Oryctolagus cuniculus: one gene and its partner. The protein of the gene in region 1 purifies or fractionates together with the protein of each later gene. This does not show direct contact. Links are inferred from orthologs where the notes say so. Each region holds a gene or a part of one and is shown on either strand. Other genes may lie near its edges.

The links.
Region 2: the proteins of TSC22D4 (region 1) and NRBP2 purify together in Homo sapiens (affinity purification with mass spectrometry; 3 studies listed by BioGRID and IntAct, counting the BioPlex papers as one, with this or other methods). This does not show direct contact. The link is inferred for Oryctolagus cuniculus from reciprocal best matches to the Homo sapiens genes TSC22D4 and NRBP2.

Annotation. Positions count from the first base shown.
Region 1 is NC_091450.1:42,686,142-42,690,409, forward strand, and holds the start of TSC22D4 (TSC22 domain family protein 4), read right to left. Parts: upstream 2,806-4,268; 5' UTR 2,330-2,805; intron 1,929-2,329; 5' UTR 1,669-1,928; coding exon 907-1,668; intron 1-906.
Region 2 is NC_091437.1:167,681,814-167,686,117, forward strand, and holds the start of NRBP2 (nuclear receptor-binding protein 2), read right to left. Parts: upstream 2,804-4,304; 5' UTR 2,653-2,803; coding exon 2,530-2,652; intron 2,292-2,529; coding exon 2,169-2,291; intron 2,099-2,168; coding exon 1,997-2,098; intron 1,915-1,996; coding exon 1,825-1,914; intron 1,708-1,824; coding exon 1,667-1,707; intron 1,584-1,666; coding exon 1,489-1,583; intron 1,383-1,488; coding exon 1,359-1,382; intron 1,289-1,358; coding exon 1,205-1,288; intron 1,125-1,204; coding exon 1,069-1,124; intron 998-1,068; coding exon 902-997; intron 248-901; coding exon 115-247; intron 23-114; coding exon 1-22. UniProt on the Homo sapiens protein: May regulate apoptosis of neural progenitor cells during their differentiation.

The sequences.
Region 1 (4,268 bases):
CCAAGGCCAGGAAGGGGGAAACATTCTCATCCTCACCCTCCAGGCCTTCCCCCTCACCCCGCAGTCCAAGGTGTTATTTTCTCCTGCAGAACAGAAGCATCCAACCCCACATTCCTGGCTGCCCACCCCCACCCCAGGGACCCAGGCATCCTGCCCCCAGCCCAGACTTGTTCCTCTTTTGGAGACAGGAAGCAGAACGCACAGGACTTAACTCCTCCTCTGCTGCTTCCCGCCTCTCTCCCACGCCACGGTGGCCACCCCTTGTTATCAACCCCAGAGGGGACAGAGGCAGGAACCAAGACAGACCCCCCCACCAGGGGTGAGGCGAGCCCCCCATCCCGTCCAGTGCCCCATCCACCCAGTTCCTCAGTGCCTCAGAGAAACATGGCTTGCAGCAAGGGTGGAGATGAGCCTGGGCTGGGCACTGGCAGAGAGAAGACCCCGCGCTTAGGATGGAGCTGCGTGGAGAGGTTGAGAGCAGAAATCCCACCTTTTGCCCCCTGAGCCTCCCCCCGCCCCAAACCCTGGCAACTCCTCGACCAGGGGCCGAGTCACCCAGCCCGGGGCCTCCACCCTCATTACCTGGAGCCAGAGGGAGTGAGACCCCAAGACAGAAGGTGGTGACCAAAGTGAGCAGACCATTGTAGCTAAAGGCTATATGGAGACAGGGCAAGAGCCAAAGGCAACAAATTAAAGGCCACAGAGAAAGAAGGTGTAGCTTGCAGGGAAGAGGAGCCCCAGGGAGAAAGCAAAGGACAGCAAAGTGCGACGGCAGAGAGAGAAAAGAGGTGCCACGGATGAGACAGATGACAGTGGCGGGGGAGGGGAGCATGGCGGTGAGGCTCCGACTGAGATGCCTGAGCAGGGCCCTCAGGAGTCTCCCCCAACCTGGAACCTGGCTCTTACCTGTCCAGCCTCCTCTGGAGCAACCAACTCCATCCTCAGTCGCAGGGCTCCATCTTTCCTTCGGGACGCTGGAGGGGTCCCTGCCGCCGGGCCCCCAGCCTCCACTTCCACCCTTAGGGAGGGCAGGGGCACGGGAGCCAGGGATGTGCCGGCGCTATCCCCAGTCCCAGGCTCTGGGAGGCGCTGCTGCGGTGGGGAGGCCGCCAGGAGGGGTGTCTCCACCTTGGCCTTGCCGGGCACCGACAGCTGGCCCAGCCCGCCGGTGAGGGAGCGGGCCTGAGGTCCAGGGGAGCTGGGGGGCGGACGCAGCCAGGAGGTGGGGCCCTGAGACAGGCCTGGCTGTGGGATAGGGGCGCCCAGGCCCAAGCTGGCCAGCTCCAACCTGGAATCCAGAGATCGACCCCCAGTGCCCCCCGAGGCTCCCCGGATCCCCTCCAGGAGCCGGCCGAAGCTGGGGGGCTCCAGGTCTCGCTCGTAAACATCCACACACGTCCAACGACCTCGGCGATAAGGCTCTCCCAAGCCGTGGGGCAGCTTCACCACCCGGAAGCGGGAGGCAGGGGCCCCAGGCGGTGGGGAGCCATTCCGGGGGGTGCTCTTGCCCCCTGGGTCGGGGTTGGGCTCCCCGTTGGGGAGGCGGGGCGGGGGCCCCGCAGGGGCCGGTGGGGCAGGGGGATCGGAGCCGCCGGGGCTCCCTGGGCCCTCGTAGTCCGTGGTGACGCTGGTGATCTGGAAACTACTCTTCTTTTTGCCTCCACTCATGGTCCCCGGAACTCAGGACTGGGCTGAGGTTGGGGGACTGGGGCTCTTTGAAGGGGCTCAGGCACCCCTAGAACAGGGGGGCCACATTGCGGGGGCATCAGGGCCCCTGGGAACATCTGGGTCCGACATGGCCAAAGGGCCTTGTGGGAACTGGGGGTGCCCGGCTGATGACAGAACAGGGTAGGGGAGGTGGCGGGAGGGGGGAGCAGGGGCAGGTTTTTCCTGCTGCCGCCGCCGAACTCCAGAGCTGAGTTTGCAAACTGGAAAGAGAGAGAGAGCGCGGGTGCGCGCGCGTGTGTGAGAAAGCAGTGGGCAGGCCACCTCCGGGGCTTCCTCTCTGGGGAGCAGAATTGGAGAGGAAGGGGAAATCGCCAGAGACCCAGAGACAAAGAGACAGGCAGGGGAGGCCAGAGAGCACGGCGTGGGGCACACAGACTTGGGCATTTCTGGCCTGGGATTCAAACTCAGGGGACCCAGTTTGTCCTGAGCGCACCGGCTCCAGGTCCTGGGTGAACCAGGGTGAGGCGGCACCTCCAGGCCGCTTGGCGGACTCTGCTGGGCCTCCTCCAGGCACCCCGCACCCCGGTTCCCACATCCCAGGGGCAGGCCCTGCCCGCGCCCCAAGCGCCGCGCCGCGCCACGCCCAGTCCGGGGGCCTTACCTCTCGGTCTCGGCCACCGAGCTGACCGTGGGGGTCCCGGCGCCCAAGGTGTTGGGCTGTCTTTTCCCGGGGGCCTCCTGGCCCCGGGGTGGCGCGGGGCACGCAGGCGGCGGTCAGGGGCAGCCCAGTCCTGTTCGGGGGCCGCACCTCCCCCTGCGAGGCATCTCCGTGGAAAGTTTTCGCTCCAGAAAAGGAGTCTGCGCCCCCTCGGCGGAGCCCAGGAGCCGCCTCCGAAGCCCGAGGTCTCCCGATAGCTGTGGGAGGGTGCGGCTCAGCCCCCCGCGGCTCCAGGCGGCAGCCGGCCTCGGTGGTCCCGGCGAGCGGGTCTCGCACACCTCCTCCCGCGTGGTCCCGCTGGACCTGTCTCCGCTCCTCGGCTGCTCTCAGTCTCGTCTGTCTTTCTCTTTCGGGGCTGTTGACAACCCCCACACCAGGAAGTCCTGCCTCCTCGGGCCTGCTGACTGCTCCTCTCCTCCTCCTCCTCCTCCTCCTTCCCCTCTTCCTCCCCCCTCCTCCCTCCTGGGGCTCCCCGCCAGCTGGCCCCGGGCCAGGCCCGCCACAGCCGCCGCTCTTGCAGTTGCTTCTGCTCCTGGGGCCCCAGACGGGCTCCCTTAACCCCACACCTGCTGGGCCCCGGCCCGGCGCTTCCTCGGAGGGCGGGGCTTCGAGGGCGGGGAGAAAGGGGCGGAGTTCGCCGAGAGACCAGGGATTCCCTTACTTGCAGGCAGCTGGCTGCCATTGGCCTGCGGACGCGCGCCCAGGAGCGGACCAGGCCCGTGCGGGGTGCCCGGCTGCCCAGAAGTGCCTGACTTAAACGTGCCGGCGCGGCTGTGACTGTCATTGTCACAGCTTCTTTGAAAGAGGAAGGGACTATTATTTCCCCCACTCCTTATCTGAAAAAGTGGATTATTATGAAAAACTTCCAACAAAACTGAATAGTGACCACCCAGGTACTTAGCAAGTGGGTTCAGCGATTAGCAACTCCTAGCCCGCCTTCTCCCATCCCTACCCCCAATGTCCTGTATCAGAAATCCTGGACATCATATTACTGAACTACTTGGATGTGAAAATTGAGACCAGAGAGTTTGGAAAAGGCTGTCATTCGTACAGCAGAGACATTCCACACACTCAGCTCTTTTCTATTTATTTATTTGAGAGGCAGAGTTGCAGAGATTGAGAGGGAGAGGCAGAGAGAGAGGTCTTCTATCCGCTGGTTCACTCCCCAAATGGCCACAACCAAAGCCAGGAGCCAGGAGCTTCTTCTGGGTCTCCTACACGGGTGCACGGACCCAAGGACTTGGGCCATCTTCTACTGCTTTCCCAGGCCATAGCAGAGAGCTGGACTGGAAGAGGAGCAGCCGGGACTAGAACCGGTGGCCATATGGGATGCGGACGGCACAGGCAGAGCATTAATCTGCTGCGCCCCAGTGCTGACCCCACACTCAGCTCTTTGTGTGGAACGAGAAACACATTAGGACTTGCAGACAGGAGGCTGACTTTCACTTTCTCTCCAGACACTGGACACGCAGGAATATCCACTTACCCACACAGGTGCACCTGAGGACCAACCCCAGCAGCCACAAGCAGGGCCCCTTTCCCTAGCTCTCCCGCTGCATCCAGTGCTTACTAAGAAGGACAATTCACACAAACTAATGAAAAGCCTGCTATGCACTTGGCATGAAAGAACACACTGGGGCAGTGGTGAAGCCACTGCTTGCTTTGCAGGTATCCCATAAGAGCACCAGTTCAAGTCTCGGCTCCTCTGCTTCTGATCCAGCTCCCTGCTAATGCACCTGCTAAAGCAGTGGAAGATGGCTCAATTGCTTGGGCCCTTCTCACCTGGGTGGAAGACCCAGATGCAGTTCCTGACTTTGGCCTGGCTCAGCTCCAACTATTTTGGGTATTTGGGGAGTGAATCAGTAGATGGAAGCTTGCTTGC
Region 2 (4,304 bases), on another chromosome or scaffold:
ACCATGTTCTCCGGCATGAGGTCTGCGGGCCGCAGGATACACGGGCGGGCTGAGCCCCAGTCCTGGGGGACGCTGCCGCGCCAGGACGCCAGGCCCAGCTGGCCGGCCACTCACACTGGTGCTGGATGAAGCAGTGGGCCGCCAGGAGCTTCAGCGAGTGCACCTCAAACAGCACGCGGTGGAACAGCAGGCTGTGGGCCGAGGGCCGGCGGGCAGGGTCCCGGGCCAGGCAGGACAGGATGAACTCCTGAGGGCGTGGGAGGAGGCCTCCTGAAACCCCGCACCCCAGGGTGCAGCCCCTCTCGCCTCAGAGTCCCAGCGGGAGCCCTGGGCGGGAATACCCAGGGAAAGGCACCCCGAGGGCAGCCAAGCCAGCTCCGACTCTGAGCGGGAGGGCACCGGCACCGCGGGCAGTGACTGCCATTATCCGGGCACACAGGCGGGCCCTACCCACAGCCCGGCCCTGCTCAGGCTCTGCCTCAGGGGCTGCATGGACCGGGCCGCCCCAGCTCCCCAGGAGCCCCTGGGGCCGCAGAGCTAACCCTTGGCCTCCGACCCGAAAGGCTTGCGCCCTACACTTGCTTTGCCCACCCTGCCCCCATCCACCTGGAGCCCCAGGTCTGGAAGCTTGGAGGTCTCGGGGCTGGGCAGACGGCGTGACGCTGCGGCTCCCTCTCTGAGCCAGCCTCGGGTGTGTGTGTGGGGGGGGGGAGGTCCAGTGCGCCACGTGCCAAGGCTGTCTCTAGTGCCCTTGGCTTCACAGCGCTGATCCCCTAGGGTCCTAGGCCCCAAACCCCGCCTGGGGCCCTAGCAAGGTCCTCCTCGCCGGTGGGCTTTGTGCAAGTGGCTGGCACACCCCTCGGCGGCAGCCACAGGCCCAGAGCCCGGGCAGGCTGCTCACCCGCATGTTGGGGTCGCTCAGGGAATGCCGGGCCCGAGCCACGGCCTCCTCGGTGACCCGGGCGTCCCCGTTGGCCTGGATCTCCAGCACAGCCATCTGGGCGTGGAGAGGACAGCGGTGAGGCGGAGGCCGCCCGGCACGGAGGGGCGGGGAGCCAGGGCCAGTACCTCCAGCGCGCACATCCCGAAGGAGAAGATGTCCACGGCGGTGCCGTCGGCCACCTCTGAAAGGGAGACGCGAGGCCGGGCAGCCGGGCAGGGCCGGGCAGGGCCCGCGAGGCGCGCGCCGAGCCCCCGGACCCACCTCCGTACTCCGGGGGGAAGAAGTGCAGGTTCCGAAGCTGCTCGCGCTCCGCCAGGACCGGGCTGCGCAGATCGTCCGGGAGGGCTGCAGGGGAGCGCGGGCGCTGAGCGGACGCAACCTGGCCGCAGCCAAGGCTACCCCGAGCCCCACGCACCGTTGGAGAAGATGCGGTACCACACTGCACCGGCACCGGCGGGGAGACAGAGGCGTCAGCGCGAGGCCGCGGCGTCCACGGTCCCCGCCCGGCCCTGCCCCCGCCGCCGCGTCCGCGCCTGCACCCGCACCGGAGCCGATCTTGACCAGGCCGTTGTGCTGGATGAAGATGGTGTCGCTGGTCAGGTTGCCGTGAATGATCGGGGGGCTGCAGGCGTGCAGGAAGCTGCGGACGCGGGGCAGGGAGAGGCCGCGTGGTCAGGCTGCGCCCGGCCGGCGTGGGGCGCGGGCGCGCAGGCGCAGGCTCACCTGAGCGCCGACAGGATCTGCGTGCACCAGCGCTTCCAGGCCTAGCGGCGACGCACGACGCCATCGGGTGGGCTGGGGGGGGCGGCCGGGCCTGCGCAGCCCGCCCCCCCCCCGCGCCCACCCCCACCCTGACCCCTGGCCCGCCCCCTCCCCCATACCCGGGCGTTCATGGCCTTGTGATTCTTCTTGGTCTTTTTCAGGAACTGCTTGAGGCTGCCCGACGACACGTACTCCGTGATGAAGACCACCTGCGTGGCGGGCGGGCTCGCGGCGGGTCCCACGGCCCGCGCCTCGCCCGCCGCGCCTCGCCCGCACCCCACCGCGGCTCACCCGCGCGCGGGTCTCCGAGGCGTCCAGCCAGTAGCGGTGCAGCTTCACGATGTTAGGGTGGTCGACGAGCGCCAGCTGCTCGAACATGGTCAGGATCTTCTCCTGGACAGGGGGCGCGGTCAGGAGCAGCGAGGGGCGGCCCGGGGCGCGGCGCGGCGGGGCCGGGTCTCACCTCGTGGGCCGCGAAGGCCTTCCTGTCGCCGAAGTGCAGCTCGTTCCACACCACCTCCACCCCCTCCTCCGCGTCCATGGCCAGGAACGTGCTCTGGATCCCGGGCATGTTCCCCTGGTTCACCTGGGCGGGGCAGCGCGCGCCGCGGGTGGGACCGGGCCCTGCGCGCGCCCGTCCCTCAGCCCCGCGCGCTCGTGGCTGGGTCCCCCAGGAGCGGTGGGCCGCATGCCAGGGCCGGATTCCGGGGACGCACGGTGGTCCAGGGAGAAGACCGGTCCTCGGAGGCCCGGGGCTTCTCTCCAGGGCGCGCGCGTCGGGCCCGCGGCGTCCGAGGCCGCCAGCGTCGCCCGCCCGCGCCCACCTGCTCCCGCCGCTTCTGCCAGCGGCCGCACGGGCTCTCCTCCAGGATCTCGCTCTCGTCCTCGCTCTCGTCCTCTCGCTCCCTCTCACGGCCCCTCCTCGGCGTCGGCTCCGGGGCCGCCATGGCTGGGCGGGCAGGCACCGCCCTTCTCGCGCCCCAGCCCCGCGTCCCGCGCCCCGGCCCCCGCCCAGCCCCGCGCCCGCCCCGGCCGAGCCGAGCCGAGCCGCCGCCGCCGCCTGAAGCCCCCACCCGCGCTCGGGAATCCGGAGGCGCGGGCGCGCGGCGGGCCGGGGGGAGGAGCCGGAGGGCAGCGCCCGCGCCTGGCCCACTCTGCGGCTCCGCCCCACCCAAGGCTGCCCCATCCCTGGCCGCTCGGTCAGAGCCTGGCCCCTAACCACCCGAGGCCTCGTTCGGCTGCCCTGGGCCCGGGACGCTCCGGCTATGGGCAGGAGAGACCCCAGCGCCAGCCTGAGCCTCCTAGGCCGGGGCTTCCCTGGGGCGCAGCGCGGTCGGGAACCACCCACGACCACCTTGCTGCCCCGCATCCCTACGCCGCCACTGCCGTGCCCAGTGGGAGCACACTCCGCTGAGGTGGGGAGGTCCGGTGGTCCCCCGACCTGCACCACGTGGGAGACCCGGATGGAGCTCCTGGCTCCTGGTCTCTGCCTGACCCAGACCTGGCTGTTGTGGCCATTTGGGTTGGGAACCAGAGGATGGAAGTGTGTGTGCCTGTCTGTCACTCTGCCTTTTAGATAAAATGTCTTAAAAAAGAAAAGAAAAGAAAAACTCATCTCAACATGCACCCCCTCCCACACACACACATCTGCCGACTCCCTCCCTGGGGGCTGGGGTGCCTGCTTCCTCTCCGGCTGAAACTAGCTGAACTGCTGGGCTCCCCGAACCCTGGCATCTGACCCTTTCCCACGTCCACTGCTGTCACCGTTCTGACCAGCCTGTGCCCCACACCTCCTAAAGAACTGGCCCCGACCGGCTCCCAGGAACACCTCTTGGTGTGTCTGCGTTCCCCCCAGAGGCCTGGGGCCTTGCAGTGAGAACCTGTCCCTGTAGAAGCCCTGGGCATGAGGCCTGTGGAGCCTGCCCGGCTGGCCGCAGCCCAGGCCTCAGGAGACCAAGCCTCATCTGTCCGCATGGCCGCGCCGGATGGTATCTGTGGGGGCTCTCCTGCCCGCTCTGCCCTGTGTCCCCGGCCACGGTGAGGTACCCCTTCCAGTGTAACCGCTCTGAGTTCTGAGAGTCTGCTGGCTCGTGGAAGGCCAGGACGGTCTGGGGCCTCCTGCTGGTCTCTTCTCTCTCCCAACCAGGAGGGCCGGGCCGTTGGTCCTGCCGCACCCACCCCCACTGCTCCCACCTGCTCTCGGAGAGCCCACCCCAACCTCCCCGGGCCCCAGCAGCTGAGTCCTGCTGGACTGCTCTGCCCATTGCAGGCTCAGCCAGACCCGAGGAGGCTGGCAGGCTCCCGGCCCCGGAGCAGGTCCAGCCAGGGCGCTGTGTGGCTGAGGGTGCACTCCAGAGTTGGGTGCTTGTCACGGGAGACCTGGCCCACCCATCTTGCCAGGAGTCATGTCCTGGAGAGCAGAGGTACCCCCCCTGAGGTTGGGGGGAGGGTGTCGTGTGCAGCTGTGTCTGGGGCTTTGCCCTGCGGAGAGTGGTGCTCACCCTAAACAGAGAACAGAGCCCCAGAGGAGGCCCGCCCTGGAGCCAGCCCTGACCCAGGCCTGTCCTGTGCTGGCAGTGTTGTGGCACCCCGCCCTTGC